Linked DNA regions of Medicago truncatula. The protein of the gene in region 2 binds, or shares a complex with, the protein of the main gene of each other region. Links are inferred from orthologs where the notes say so. Each region holds a gene or a part of one and is shown on either strand. Other genes may lie near its edges.

Region 1 (7,446 bases), on a different chromosome or scaffold from region 2:
TTGACAACTCCCTGAGGGACCAATATTTCCCCTTGGATTTTGTGAGTTTTCGAGATTTTCAGATACAAAGAACCAACCGGATATCGATGTGCGAAGTCTAAGTTGTTCGAAAAATAGGACTTGAACAATTACTCTTAGAGGCAATCTTTCATTTTGTGCTGCATGACTGCTTCCTTCCAATGATAGCTTTTGGCAATTCATTAGTCTGCATAGTTGTTCCCGTTCCGAATCTGTCAGCCATGTATGTGCCTGAAGTTTTTCGTTACATTTTGAAATATTTAGGAACAAAAGAAAACAATAGTAAAGTTTAATTAGCACATGATTGTGATTTCATGGTACTAAATTTGTGAAAGGTTCATTCACCAAATAGACCTTGTTAGTTTATTCTGCTACCTCTTTTTCTTGTTATAACCATGTTTTGTGATTTTTACATATATTAAACAAAGTAGTAGTATATTTAATATGTCGATTTTGTGTATAGATGTTTCCAAAATATCATCTTGTATATGACATCTTCAACTCTTATTTCTCATCTCTCAACACTTAGTAGCAGTAATTAGAATTTTGAGGAAAGAAAATGTACATAGAAATTTAATCTATGATTTTTATTTAGGGACAATTTTTTTACTCATTAATTCATCAACATTGAAATCATCACAAATCTCACTATTTCCTCCACAATCTTAGTTCTTCATAAATTTTCTACTATGCCAAAACATCTTACAATCTTGAAGCATAGAAAAGGAGTGCATATGAAAAATGGAATTGGCAAAGGAAGGTATACAAGATGATCTAACCTTAAGGTATACATCTATTGCGTGGTATATACCGTCGTCAAGGGGTCTGGCATAATCAGGAATTGCAACAGCAAGTGCCTGAAATTTAGACAGGTTTAGATTAGCATCTGAAGCGACTTCGGCAAGATATCCATCTACCAAGTTAGCGACCATTGTCATCGGTGTCAACGTATCAACCCCAGCAATTAATGTTCCAATTTCAGTTATACATGGAGAAGCAGATAAAGATGCAGGCTGGTAGATAGACATAAAATGGTCCAGAATCCTCTGAATACAATCTATATCATAAAGCGTCTCGACCGAGTATCCCATATTTGGAATGAGAAGATCCACAAGTGAAGCCTGATCTAGTTGAGCTCCTACCCTTTTCTCTAAATTCTCTTTGCATGATGGACTTGCACGTAATATCATTGCGGTTCGGAGCAACCGAAGGAGATGCTTAGAGGATGTGACACCTCTCTTATTAGGAATCAACTCCACAATTTCTTCTAGTAAACCCCTTTGATCAGCTTCAGAAGTTGTAGGGATTGTTGCATGATTTGTATCTTTGAAACTTGATTGTCTATTCATCAAGGGAAGAAACCGCCTAAGGTAATATATAAGAGATGCAGCAATAGTCTCCGATTTCATTCCTTTTGATTCAATAGCCAAAATCAATCTTTTATATAATGGTAGGCTCAACAAAGACACATCATAAAACCACCAATTATCACCAACAGACTGTGGTTTACTCTCACAAGACATTCCATTCAACAACTCATGTTCCTCTTGATTTTTCGCGTCATTACGGCCTGTCACTTGCCAATTGAACAAATCTGGATCCGAACAAGCCTTCATAGCCAAGGAATCAATGCATCTAGAAAAAATATGGAGATCTTCTGCAAAGTTTTGCACTTCCTCGCATGTCTCGAGCGCTTTGATGGAGTCTGGCCAATTGCTGAAAACTTCATTTAGAAAAGATTCTGTGTAACCAATAAGATTGTCTGCACCATAGTTTTCAGTCATTTGGAGATGCTCTGCTGCACATCTTAGACTAACTACATTCAATGCTGTGATTTCTAATTTCACACCATAGCAAAATTTTGTTATGAGCTCAAATGTTTTGGCTCCACCAGGAACATCATGAAGTTGCAAAATACTACTTGATCCATCCTCACTTGTGGACTCTGCAATTAGTTTCTTTAGTAGTCCACTTCTAGAAAGTAATGGAAACTGCATCAAAATCACAAATGTTGAAAAAAACTAATCACCAACATGAATTATATACTTTAATTTAACATGCTGCATAGACCAACAAAGACAAAAATTTAATTATAAATAATAGAAATTTTGAAAAACACTCTCTAACACACATTTCACTGTATTTTTGTACTTTTGTTGCAATTTGAACGAGTCTCGATATATTAAAAATCGCGTCCACTGATTCATTGGGTCTCACACAAAATTTGATGATGTACATAATATTAATATTGAATATGGCTCATACATAGACACATAGGAGGGGCAAGGGGCGGGGGAGTTGAGCTAGCGTAGCTCCCTCCGATATGGTTCATGGGTATTGTTGTAATATGAACCGTAGTACTATATATATGGCTTGTAACACTGTAAACACTAATTCACTCAAGTAATATACGAAATTACAGTCGCAGAGGTAGGCACAATTGGCCGAACCGACAAACGACCACATTCCATTGTTTCCAATTTTAAGTTTTCTTTAATCATTTGTTACTAGTTATTAACTCTAATTCACTCAAGTAATATACAAATTTAGTCACAAAGGTAGGCACAATTGGTCGAACTACATAAACAAACGATCATGTTCAATTGTTTCCGATTTAAGTTTTCTTTAATAATTAGTTACTAATTGTTGTTCTAATAATTAACTTAAGGATAATATTGAAATAAATTAACTAATGTTACATTAAGAACAATATTTCACTTATTTTAGGGTGGTATGAGGTACTATGTGAGTGGATTTATAAGAAAAAGTGTGCAATAAGTTTTAAAGTTAAATAAAAAAGTACCTTGTGGAGGAGAAAAGAAATTTCGCCAACTTCAATAGTAACATCACTTGGAAGTCCTGTTGTACAAACCCTTAAATTAAAAAACAAGATAAGATCATGGTCAATTATCCAATAAGTAAGGGAATTTGTAGATACAATTGAGAAACCTATTCTCACTATCCAAAAAAATCAAATGAAATTTAAGGTTCTATTTTGAGATAGGGAACATTAACAAAAACAACAACAAAATTACACACATTGTTAATGTCACATATTATATATAATAATATAAGGATCAATGTTGATATAGAGAAATGAGTGCTGACCATGTTTGACCTTCACGACGAAAAGCTTCAGGCTTTGATCCCAGCTTCATGGATGCCATTACATGGATTTATTTGTAATTACAGATTAATTGTTTGAAGATTGGTTGATAAAATCAAGAGACATGAAATGAGAGGAGATAAGAGAAGGAAGAGAAAGGTGGAAGTGAATGTGACCATCCTCCTCAGATTCACAGGTGGCAAGTCTAAGGCCTAATAACTGAAACAACGATAAAAACGGTTATGTGTATTTTTTTTTTTTTTTGGTCAGGTAGCCTAGTGGCTGGAGCTCACACATTTTAAATGTGGAGGAGTGGGGTGTCCGGGGTTCGAACCCCGACCCCTGCATATAAAATGCATTTGTCCCTACCAACCGAGCAGAGCTCACGGGACACGGTTATGTGTATTTAACAATCGAACTTTTATTTTTTAATTATTATATGTGTGCGAGTAAAAAATATATATTAAATGTGTCCCGTGAGCATATGGTGGCTAGATTATTTGATTTAAAAAAAATTAGAAGTGTATTTTTTATAATTTGGAATCATTTGTGCGCAATTATTGAAACTGATTCTTTCAACTTTGTGGAAATCCAAATGGAGAAAGACTCTTCCTTAAAGTTTTAATGTTGTAGCAAGATTTTTTTTTTTTTTTTAAGGAAACAAGAGCCTTCTTTTTAAATGTTAGTTTTAACGTTTTATTTTTGTTTTAAAACAATGGAATATAAGTATTAATGATAGTTTTGTGAGAAAAAATTAATGATCGTCAAGAGTATTTTATTAAAATGCACATCATCAATTAAATAATTTTTTAATTTGTGTACAAAACTTATAAACTAAAATGAAGAGATTATTTTTGTTATAAATGTTAGTAGATAGATTAATATTTTCTTCTTCAACTAGATTTAAACCCATAAAATAATTTCTTCTCTTTCATTTAAATTTGAACTATAAATATATTCAAGCAAAATTAAAAAAAAACAATCAAACATGTGAGAATGAATTTATTCAAAATCAATTTTAGTTACCTTAGAATCAAACACACTAAAATTTATTCAAACATTTAGACATTAATTAAAACATATTAAGCATTTTAAAAAAGGAAATAGAGAAAAATGGAAAATGATAAGGGAGGTAGTGTAGCAATAGAGGTAGAACAGATGAGTTGAGCGAGCTTCTGAGTTCTTCTCCCTCTCCGGACGACGTTTGAACTTCTGCAAAACGGCACCGTTATGTCTTTAATTCAAGCCAATCTTCTACCCAACTTGTCCTTCAACCATTTTCAGGTTAGCATCTTCCAAACTTTAATTATTTACCGTCTGGGTTTCTTCAATACTCTTTCTTAAACCCACTTTACATTTCATTAATTCATACCATATATATAAAAAAATCAATTTTAGAATTGAATAAACTCAAGAATTACATATTTTATCACTTATTTTCCTTTAAAGTTATATATCTTGTTTCATTATGCTTCTGTTTGCTAGAAAGAAAAAAAAAAAGACTCGTTTTTTTAACATTTTTACTAGCTAATATCTTATTTTGTTAAGTTAATTCAATTAGCTTATAGCTTATTACTTTTTCTTTCAAAGTTTTAAATATTAATTAAACATATAGTTTTTATGTCATTTCATATTTACAAGCTACTTCAACAACTAATTTGACTAAGCACTACATATTCAATCAGTTAGCTTATCCGGTATAAGTTCATCCATTATAAGTTAGCTTATCAACTATGCGCTGTTTTTTTTTTTTTTTTTTTTTTGCCAAACAGAGCCATAATGGATGGTTGATAAGTTAGCTGATAGCGGATAAGGTAGCTGATTGAATTTATAATGTTTGGTAAAGTTGGCCGCTGAACTAGCTTGTAAATATGAAATAAAAAAGAAATGTTCAATTAATATTAAGTTTTTTTTTTTTTTCAATTAAGATTACCTCGTGAGAAAATGATAGTTACCAAACAAGTCTTTTTTAGTCATACGAGCTTATAAGCTAGCAGCTACAAGTTAGCTTATCGTGCTTGCCAAACCGACCCTATGTTGTATTACTTTATAACATGTAATATGGAGCTAATTTATAGTGTAAAATGCTTGCGACCATGTAGACATCAACGTACTTGGTGGGTGTTGGCAATTTACCATGTAGAGTTGGTTTCAGAAAATCAAGAAAGAAGTTACCTTCATATAGTTGCATAAGATGTGAAAAGAATGATGAAATAAAGAAAGATGAAGAAAATAAAGATGAAGTTATTGATTATGTGACAGTTGAACGTCCACCTTATTATAGTTACATGGACTCCACCTCTGGTCAGCTTGAGCCGGCCTCGGGTGCTAGAGCAAGTATTCCTGAAGTTGAGTATTGGCCTGAAGGAACTGTTGAGCAAGTCAGGGCTGCTAGGGCGCCTACTCCGATGGGAGAATCGTTAGGTTCTCCGTCATATGGTAGTAACCCTGGTAGTAGGAGGAAGAGTTATAGAACTTCGGTTTCTGGTTCTTCCTCTGAGGGTAACGTTGAGGGGAATGTTGAATTGGATGACCCTGGTCTTCCTGAGGTTTTGGTTGAACCTCAAGAAGATTCTGAGGAGTTCACGTCCGACTATGTTGTTTATCAGTCTGAGCCTGAGGAAGAAGAGACTGAGTACAAACTTGATAAGAAATTTGGAGCTCCTCATCCATTTATTGATCCGAAAATTAAAAAGCCGATAGAAGGAACACTTACGAGTGAGGAACTGTGGTGGAATTGGAGAAAGCCGGAGAAAGAACAATGGTCCAGATGGCAAAGGAGGAGACCTGACACTGAAACGGTTAGTGTGCATTAAATTGTCTTGGAAAAGTTTTTTGATGCTGTAATTACAATGTGTGTGCTTGTGTCTGTGTATGCATTTACCGGTTTTGTGCAGTCTTACACCTTGTGTCTGAATTTCTCTATAATATTTTCAGGTTTTCCTGAAAGCCATGGCAGAAACTGGGCAAGTAAAGCTTTATGGTGAAGAACCAACATTAACAGAAACTGCTCTTTACCGAGCCAGGCGCCATCTTTATAAGGAAGAAAGGTATTGCGGACTTTTATGCTCACAACATAGTTCTGATTAGAATAGAAATGAAACTGGCGTTTTCTGTAGTGAATCTTAATGCAGAACATATAAGAAATAAGAAGTACTGCAAACAAGAAACTCAATAGAAAGGTTGAACAGTAGTTTCTTGAAGAATGAGTAAATTACTTGATGTGATTAACATCATGGATTAAGGAGAGTAACCTGATAAAGTTTACCACAATATGTCATGGGAATTTGTTATAAGGAGAGTTACCTGAAAAAATTTACTAGGAAAATGTTGAAAATTTCCAATTTTTGCAGGCTTGAGGCTGAGCAAGAGAAACTGGAAAGGATTGGTCCAATTGCGTACTATTCCGAATGGGTAAAGGCATGGAAGAGAGACACATCTCATGAAGCTATTCAGAAGCATTTCGAAGAGACTGGTGAAGATGAAACTACTCAACTAATTGAAATGTTTTCCAACCAAACTGACCGAGAGTATCGTGTAATGATGGGGACTGATGTTCGCATCCGAAGGGATCCTTTAGCAATGAGAATGAGGGAGGATCAGATAAAGCAAAGTATTGACTTTGAAATTAATATTTGTTTGTCATGTCTTTGTTTTTATTTTATTTGAGTCGTCTTGTTATCTATCCTTTTATCTTCCTTTTTATGATTCTATGATCATTCAACTGTATTTAGTATTGTTTGCCAAACAACCTCTAGATCCTACGCATAGAAGTTTAAGCAATTAGAGAAGGGCATGAGAATAAGTTGTCCATCTAAGACATACTCCTATACACATGAAAGTCTACTAGGTATGAATTGTGAGATCCCTATTGCTTAGTTGATAATCAACTTGATAGGGACTTGGATATTATGGGGTGCCCAGTGGAGTATTTAAGTGGTTTGGTTCTAAGTATTTAAGGGCGGATTTTCTAAGTATTTAGATACTTATCAATTGTAATTAGAACTGGTTGTCGGTGGCTCGGAAAGGACTACCTGCGGAGGGGCTGATTGGAATTGGCTGAGTAAAGCGTCGTAGAATGCCAGTCGCCGAGACATCGGCTCTCAATGGCAGTGCTATGTTAGGTACTTGAAAATTATAGGGTGCCCAAGTCCCCCATCTAACATGTTCAGTGGAGTAATTAAGTTGCCTGGTTCTTCCCCCTTGATAGTTAGTTTTTAAGTTTGGGTTCTCCATGTGCTTAGATACTTATCACAACTCTGCTCTGTCAATAGTTATGGTTTTTTTCCTTCTAGTAAATAACATTACTGTGCGTTTATAAG
Region 2 (7,695 bases):
GGAACTAAATTTGCTTCTGAGTACACGCTTACGCGGAACAAAATTTCAATTTTGCACGTTTCAGTTGAAAAATCAAAATAAATTTAAACGACTTCGAAATGCTATGAAACTTTACATATCCTTTTTATGTATTTTTATAGATGTCTTTGCAAATAATGAGCTCAAAATTTGATTTATAGATCGAGATTTCTGTTGTTTTGTTTTTTGAGCTTTTGACACTTTAAAAATTCATAATTAATTTGTCGTTTGTCGAAAATTTATAATTTTTTTGTTAAAGCCATATTTTAACGTTCTTAACTCGCCTCTAGGAAATCATGAAAAAATTCAATCTCTCGGTTGCTTTTTTGGACTTCACGTATATTACAGGTTATAAATAATAAAAATCTCGAATTACATGGTCAGAATACATGTTATTTAATTACAGGGTCAATTTTCAGAGTTCAAGTATATTACGTGGTCAATTTCAATTAATAACCCTATTTTAAATTGCACTTTTGTTGACAAAATGATAAACCTCTTTTTTTCGATTTTTTTTAGGAAAAAAAATAAAAAATAATTTTTTTTTGATTTATGACTGTTTATATATTATGTCACATGTGAATTTACGATTAATTTTTTTCCCGGACTCCATAAATTTCCTAGCTCCGCCACTGCTCACGCTAGTGCAAATGGCAACGTGAGTTAACTCACGTTTCACAATACACTAGTGCATGTTAACTTGCGCTAAGCATTCAACAAATAACTCACAAATAACACTAGCGCATGTTAAGTCACGCTACTTATCTTAAGTTATGTTATAATTTGTACCAGCGCATGTTAACATGCGTAGGAGCATTTTGATCATTTACTTTGGAAATGAGCGAATTCATTTGGGCAATGAGCATAAATCAATACTAAATTCAAATATGATGGATAGCAGGGGAATTTCATGAGTTATTGAGATTTACATGCTTTGTTTCTGTGTTTCAAAGATTTTGTTTTGCTCTACAAGTATGCTGGAATGTGATATAAATTTGGCTAGAAAAAAATTGCGGCTTAGGTGTGAGAATGACTACAAAAGTCAACATTACTATGCTTGGAAACCTGGTGTGGGAACCACAAACTACTTACTGTCAAGGTATAAGATTTCAGGTTCCATAGTTTGGAACTTTGTTACTAAGGCCAAGATTATTCTCAGAGATTCCGGTGGGAGCTGGTGATCTTTGATTTTGGTATAATGATTAGATAAAGTTTATCCCTCTTTGTTGCCAAGTTCCATATGTTGACATCCATGATGTTAAAGTTTACGGTCAAGGATTTGATTGAAGATAATGTGCTCACTCTGCAGTCCTTGCTCCCAATTTTTCTGACGTTGTCTTTTAACTTGGCATTTGGCTGAAAAATGTTAATGAAAACCTACACAAATGAAGCTAAATTCTAATCTTGAAAATGGTACACAAATAAAGCTAAATTCTCATTTGGTTAGCATGCCATGATGATGATGTCCCCACTTGTAGTTTTTGCTAAACATCATCATGGAATGTTAGTCTCTGTCAAATTTGCCAGAGGAAGAGGAATCATTTCCTTTGCATAGATGGTTATTCTTTGCTAGTTTGTTATTATCTGTATCATAAGGATGATATTTTTCCATTTATAATCATTTAGGAGTTAATGTTTCATTAATTGATTGCATTCCCTATTCCCCTGGCTACTTATAACCTCACGTATTTTGTATCATATTAGTGAAAGATAAATTATTTCAAAATGCAGATGGCAAATGGATACAAACCTTTGCAGTATTATTAGAAGGGCTTAAGTTCATTTTGGTCCTCTAAATATCACGATTGTATGGCTTTAGTTCCGTATTTCTTTTCAATGTGATTTTAGTGTCCAAACTCTCCCCTTTTCCAATTTGGTAGTCTCCCCATTATTCTCAAACATATACTAATCCGGCAAAATTTGTAGATGTAGCATCCAAACTTCAATGTATAAGTGTATCTTCTCATTCCTTCAACAACAAAAAAAAAAAGTGTATCTTCTCATTAAAAAAGAATCACATTATATGAAATAGCACATGAGCTACTTAATTTGGCGCCGTAGGACAAACTGATATTCCTGTTTGGAATAATACGAGGTTCAACGTTACTGATTTGGGGATGGATTGAAGTAGAAAACGTGGAACCATCATATTTTGTTTTGTTAGATTCTTTGAATGCAAATTTGACTTAGATCCATCAAGATAATAGCGATTTTTGGATCGTATACCGAGTTTTATAAAAAAAAAAAAAAAACATGTGTAGTTAGAAGGTCAAAGATGGATTTAAGTCTATTAGAAGTTAGTTCTTCTTTTGTTTTTGTTTTGGTAAACGAAGTATCCTTTGGACATCCGAATCAAACTTTTGACCAAATGATTAAGTGGTCAGATTATATGTCACTTGTGGTAGCTATTGAACTTTAGACATCGAAATTGTCATTAATCGGTACTTCCTCCGTCCCGTCATAAGTTAATCATTCGCAAAAAAATATTGTTCCAGAAAAATTGATTCATTTTACTTTTCAAAACAATAATAATTACATTTTACCAATTATAAATTTAATTAATACTACTTTTATCATTCTCAATTTAATATATTATACTTTACATTTATGGTAAGAAGGAATGTACTAATACTTATACACTTTTTCTTAATATGTGTAAAATAAACAAAAGTTTGGGTTAAAATGGGATGGAGAATAGTTACATATAGAGGATAATTCTTGAGTTGTGGCGCCTAATTATTTATTGTAAATTTATTTTTCTTCATTCATTGTCAATAAATGTTGACACGAGATGCATTAGTAGGATTGTTGGAATCTCTCTATTTCATAAAATAAATGTTGTCCATTCATATAATTTTGAAGCAAATTAAGTAGTTTTGAAATTAAAATTGTCCATTTATTTTAAGATCGAGAGGATGTCAACTCAAGATTTATTTTATTTAGTGGATCCTTAAAAAAAACCATTGCTTGTGTTTATCTATGTCATAAATGAAAAATAAAATAGAGTAAAATCAAATTTATTTAAATTGTGTTCACATGATTGGTTAATGAGCTTTATTTAAGATAAATCATTTGGAAGAACTTGAGTCTCCTTTTCCTAAAAATCGGATGCTTAACACACAAAAACTGTGCTCACCATTCAAGAGGTTTTTGAGATTTTCAAAATAGCATGACCAAAAAAATTAATTTAGCACATCACACATATTTGTATTAATTACGCTTTCCGACCCACTACGAGTGACATATTTGTAAAAAAATTATCTCAAATGAATGATCTATTTTACAATGCAATACTAATACTTGATAAGAATACTTAAAACTATTCTTACGTTTTTTGAATACCCGTTCCAATCTCAATTATAAGAAAAAGTTATTATTTTTTTTGTTAAGTAGCCTAGTGGTCGGAGCTCACACTTTTTAAAGGTGAAGAAGTAGAGAGTTTGGTGAACCTTGGCCCCTGCATAATATTGTCTTTGTAGCTACCAACTGAGTTGTGCTTACATGACAAAAAAATTAGATTCGTTCAATAACTAATGTATTAGTCTCTAATACTACCTCCGGTCCTATTTATAAGAGAAATTTAGGTCAACAAAAGTGAATGTATTTGGACTGAATTTTTAACAAGATACATCAACTTTTGTTGACCCAAAATTCTCTTATAAATAGGACCGGAGGGAGTAGTAATGTATTGGCGCTCTTTAGGGATTTCAAAAGAAAAAAATATTCACAAAAAAAATCAAATATTTCAATTTTCAATGCATCGATTAAATTTTTGAACAAAGTTACTATTTAAAGGTCTCAAAGAGCACTCTAGGGGCAATCATTAAAATTATAAATTAGTTATTAAATGAATCAAAAAAGTTAATTTTTTTATAATCGAGACGTATGTGTGAGATGATTAAATTGAAAGCTAAAGTACACTAGAGATTCTTTAAGTTATTTAATTATAACAAGTTGGGTTTTTAAGTCTTTTTTTGTACCACTTACATCTTTTAGTTATTTAATTGTAGCAAGTTAGTCTTTACGTTTTTTCACACATTTTAGATCTTTTAAATTATTTAATCGTAACTTTTAAACACCAAATAACTTACTTTTCTACAATCAAAATTTTATTAAATTGTTAAAATTAAATAATTTAAAGATCTAAATGGTACGAAAAAACTTAAATGATCAACTTATTACAAATGAATGACATAAAAGACTGGTTCATCGCTCCATTAAAAACTAAATGATGAATATCGAAAATTTAACAAATGGAGCATGTAGTTATCTCTTACATATTTATATTAGGCAAGGGCAGTTGCCTCATTAAATGTTTGAACTTTATCTATCCGCTCAATGTTAGTTTTGTGAAGCAAGGTGGTGAAGTGTAGCAATGCAAGTCTTCCCCAATTCTTATCTCTTCACTTTCCCTAAACCCTTAAACCTTAAACCCTCTCCTTTATTTCACGGCCATCCACCACCTCTACTCCACCGCAAACCACCCCTCACCACCGTTGCTAAATCCTTCACCTCCGATGAATTCCCCGTCGACGAAACCTTCCTCCAAACCTTCGGCCCTAAAACCAAAGAATCCGAAGACGAAGCACGACGACGCAACTGGATCGAACGTGGCTGGGCTCCATGGGAAGAGATTCTCACTCCTGAAGCCAAATTCGCGCGGACGAGTCTCAACGAAGGTGAAGAAGTTCCTCTCAGTTCACCGGAGTCGATTGAAGCTTTTAGAATGTTGAACCCTAGGTATAGGAAGAAGAAGATTGAGGAAATGGGAGTGACAGAAGAGGAATATTTGGCGAAGCAATTTGAGATTAAGGAAGATGTTCCGGAGGAGTTGGAGACTAAGTGGGCAGGACCGTTGGTGGTGAAGTTGGTGCCGCCGAGGGATTGGCCGCCGAGAGGGTGGGAGGTGGATCGTGAAGAGCTCGCGTTTATTCGTGAAGCGCATAAGATGGAGGCAAAGAGGGTGAGGTTGGAGGATATTGAAAATGGTGTTAGAACTGAAACTGATGATGTGTGTTTGGATAGGTATAAGGTGTTTTTGAAACAGTACAATGAATGGTTGGAAGCTAATAAGGATTTATTGGAAGAGGAATCCTATAAGGTTTCTTCAATTTCATTTCATACTTGTTTAAATTATTACAATGTGCATTCATAGTTTTTTGATTTGGTTTATGTTGATTGCTAATTGCTAATGCTAATTGTGATGTGAATGCTACAGTTAGACCAAGATTATCACCCTGGTAGGAGGAAAAGAGGCAAGGATTACAAGGATGGCATGGTAGGATATGATGAATTCACGATTCTTTTTTTATGTTTGTATGTATTTGGAATGTGAGAAAGCAAACTTGTTCTGGGGCTAACTGTTTTTTTAAATGGTTTTTGCAGTACGAGCTACCGTTCTATTATCCTGGCCAAGTAAGCTATTTCACAATTCTTAGTTCATACTCATTATGGATTATATTGTATTGTTGTTGTCTATAAAGTCGATGCTTTACTTTTTATCAGTATCGTGTTCTTAAGATTTCCTATGGTATTAGTGTGTTTTCATATTCACCTGGTTGTTTCGAATTACTGCTATTATAATTTTATACGCACGGGCAAGCATTGCATTCTATCATTTTCTGCTGCTTGGAAGAAACTGATTTCATATGGTGGGACTAGGCTAGTCTTCAATAGGCATGTACAGTGATCTTTTCAGTTATGACAACGTGCATATTACATTTTTAAATTGCTGACTGGAAATTTTGTTTAAGAAAACTATGAATAACTGAATTTACCCTTTAATGGCAGCATCACGTTGTCACAGTTTTTTTTTTCCTTTTTTCTTTCTTTTTGGTTTGATCAATCATGATGTCTCTAATTGGACAACTGTATATGTAGTCCAATAGATGATCCTATTTTTGTTTGGCTTCATTTCATTCGTATAGTTAAAATCAGTCTTTTTCTGTATCATAATTTTTAATAAATAAATATGTAGGATTGAGATTCAAGTTTTCATAAATGCTTACATGATAATTTTTCATTGCAGATTTGTGTGGGGAAGGTGACAACTTTGCATCTCTATCAAGGGGCATTTGTTGACATTGGCGGAGTATACGATGGGTACATACCAATCCCTCTGTCCATCTTTTAAGTGTTCCCTTAACTTTTTCTGTATTGGGTGTTCATTTCCTCATTGTTTTGGATGCTGGAGTAAGTAATATTGAGTTGCTTCCACAATGATATTCTTGCTAAATTAATAACTATATCTATAACTTTAGAATGTTTAATCAATATCATGTGGTGCAAAAATAAATTGGGAAAAGCATCTTCACAAGCATTTGTACCAGCACTGAAATGCTTCATTATATCCAAAGCCATGGCAGAAACAAAACAAGTACCTAGAGAAACACACCTGAGACTTGTTAAATCTCTAGACTTTGGATGCATTTTTTTGTTAGAAAAAAAAGTACTGGTTGTTTACAGACTAGAGCTACAGGGAAATCATACTGTCTCTTTTGTATCATGTGGTAGCCCAGTTTACTGAAAATTATTCAACACTGAGATTGTTTTCTCTTTCTTTGATCTTTGACTAGGAGACATTGTTTTCTCTTTATATGCTGCCATGGGTTATTGCATATTTTCTTTTGTTTGCTGCTGCTGTGTACCAGCAGTACTTCATACTGTTATCACGAGTAACTTATAGACTTTACTTCTGTACCATTGTTATCTTGTTCAGTGCCACTGTTTTAGCTTTTACTTTTATGCAAGTTTTCTTCTGGAATATTCATCTACTGTAACGTGTTCTAGGTGGGTTCCTATAAAGAACAATGATTGGTTTTGGATTCGCCATCACATAAAAGTGGGTATGACAGTCATTGTTGAAATTACGGTGAGTATTTCGGTCACTAGTTGAGAATATTCCATACTTGTCACTTAATACTTACCTTATATACTTGATAATACAGTGATGGTGCCTTTAACTGTACTGTTACCTGCCAAATTGTAGTTTTTTTACCCATCGATAGGAAACTAGTTGGTGCTGCATTTTTCTTCATGTTGTTATGTTCACGTTTTGAAATAGGAACTCTAGCTCAAATTGTATTATACAAGGTGAATTTTCTCTCTCTTGTGTGCAACAACTGGGGCAAGCTCCCACTTACCCATCAGAAGCACTGTCCTTAGTTTCTGTTGGTATCCCCACATCAGGTATCCAATTTTCCAGTTTATTGCTCACCCCATTCCAAAGGGAAGGGGGCGATATGTTTAACCTCTGGCCTCGGTGTTTGATGCCTCTTTCTTTTATTCATCCATTTTTGGTACTAAGAAAGGTCTACCCTTGTTTCAACTTTCCACTATAATTCACCATTTAACCATGTCATTGGTTGCGTGTGACTGAAATTGTTTCTTGTGTATCCTTACTTTAAGCTTTTTTGCATTTTTTTATAGGCAATTTTGGTAGGACACACAAGGCTATATTACTGATTCTATAATATATACATAGTTCAATTATATCCTTGTTTGGCCATAAGTGGTTTTCTTGTAATGAATGTTTACTCTACTTATTAACTCATTCACATTTTTACTTTGTAGGCAAAGCGAGATCCTTATCGCTTCCGGTTCCCGATCGAACTTCGTTTTGTGGATCCAAATATAGATCATCTGATGTACGATTATGTGTTTGTGATGTTCAACCTT

The links.
Region 1: protein PLASTID TRANSCRIPTIONALLY ACTIVE 10 (region 2) and protein PLASTID TRANSCRIPTIONALLY ACTIVE 12, chloroplastic share a complex: the UniProt entries of both Arabidopsis thaliana proteins name them as parts of the transcriptionally active chromosome (TAC) complex. The link is inferred for Medicago truncatula from reciprocal best matches to the Arabidopsis thaliana genes PDE312 and PTAC12.

What each region holds. Positions count from the first base shown.
Region 1 is NC_053043.1:5,999,303-6,006,748, reverse strand, and holds the start of protein PLASTID TRANSCRIPTIONALLY ACTIVE 12, chloroplastic, read left to right. Parts: upstream 1-4,222; 5' UTR 4,223-4,354; coding exon 4,355-4,408; intron 4,409-5,226; coding exon 5,227-5,925; intron 5,926-6,061; coding exon 6,062-6,174; intron 6,175-6,477; coding exon 6,478-6,737; intron 6,738-7,446. Other genes in the region: BTB/POZ domain-containing protein At5g03250, read right to left, coding at 1-249, 798-2,009, 2,822-2,891, 3,127-3,185. UniProt on the Arabidopsis thaliana protein: Involved in plastid gene expression. Acidic transcriptional coactivator necessary for the transactivation of many PIFs target genes (class B genes), particularly during the regulation of hypocotyl growth.
Region 2 is NC_053044.1:37,563,788-37,571,482, reverse strand, and holds the start of protein PLASTID TRANSCRIPTIONALLY ACTIVE 10, read left to right. Parts: upstream 1-4,324; 5' UTR 4,325-4,393; coding exon 4,394-5,119; intron 5,120-5,236; coding exon 5,237-5,296; intron 5,297-5,403; coding exon 5,404-5,433; intron 5,434-6,046; coding exon 6,047-6,120; intron 6,121-6,807; coding exon 6,808-6,889; intron 6,890-7,590; coding exon 7,591-7,664; intron 7,665-7,695.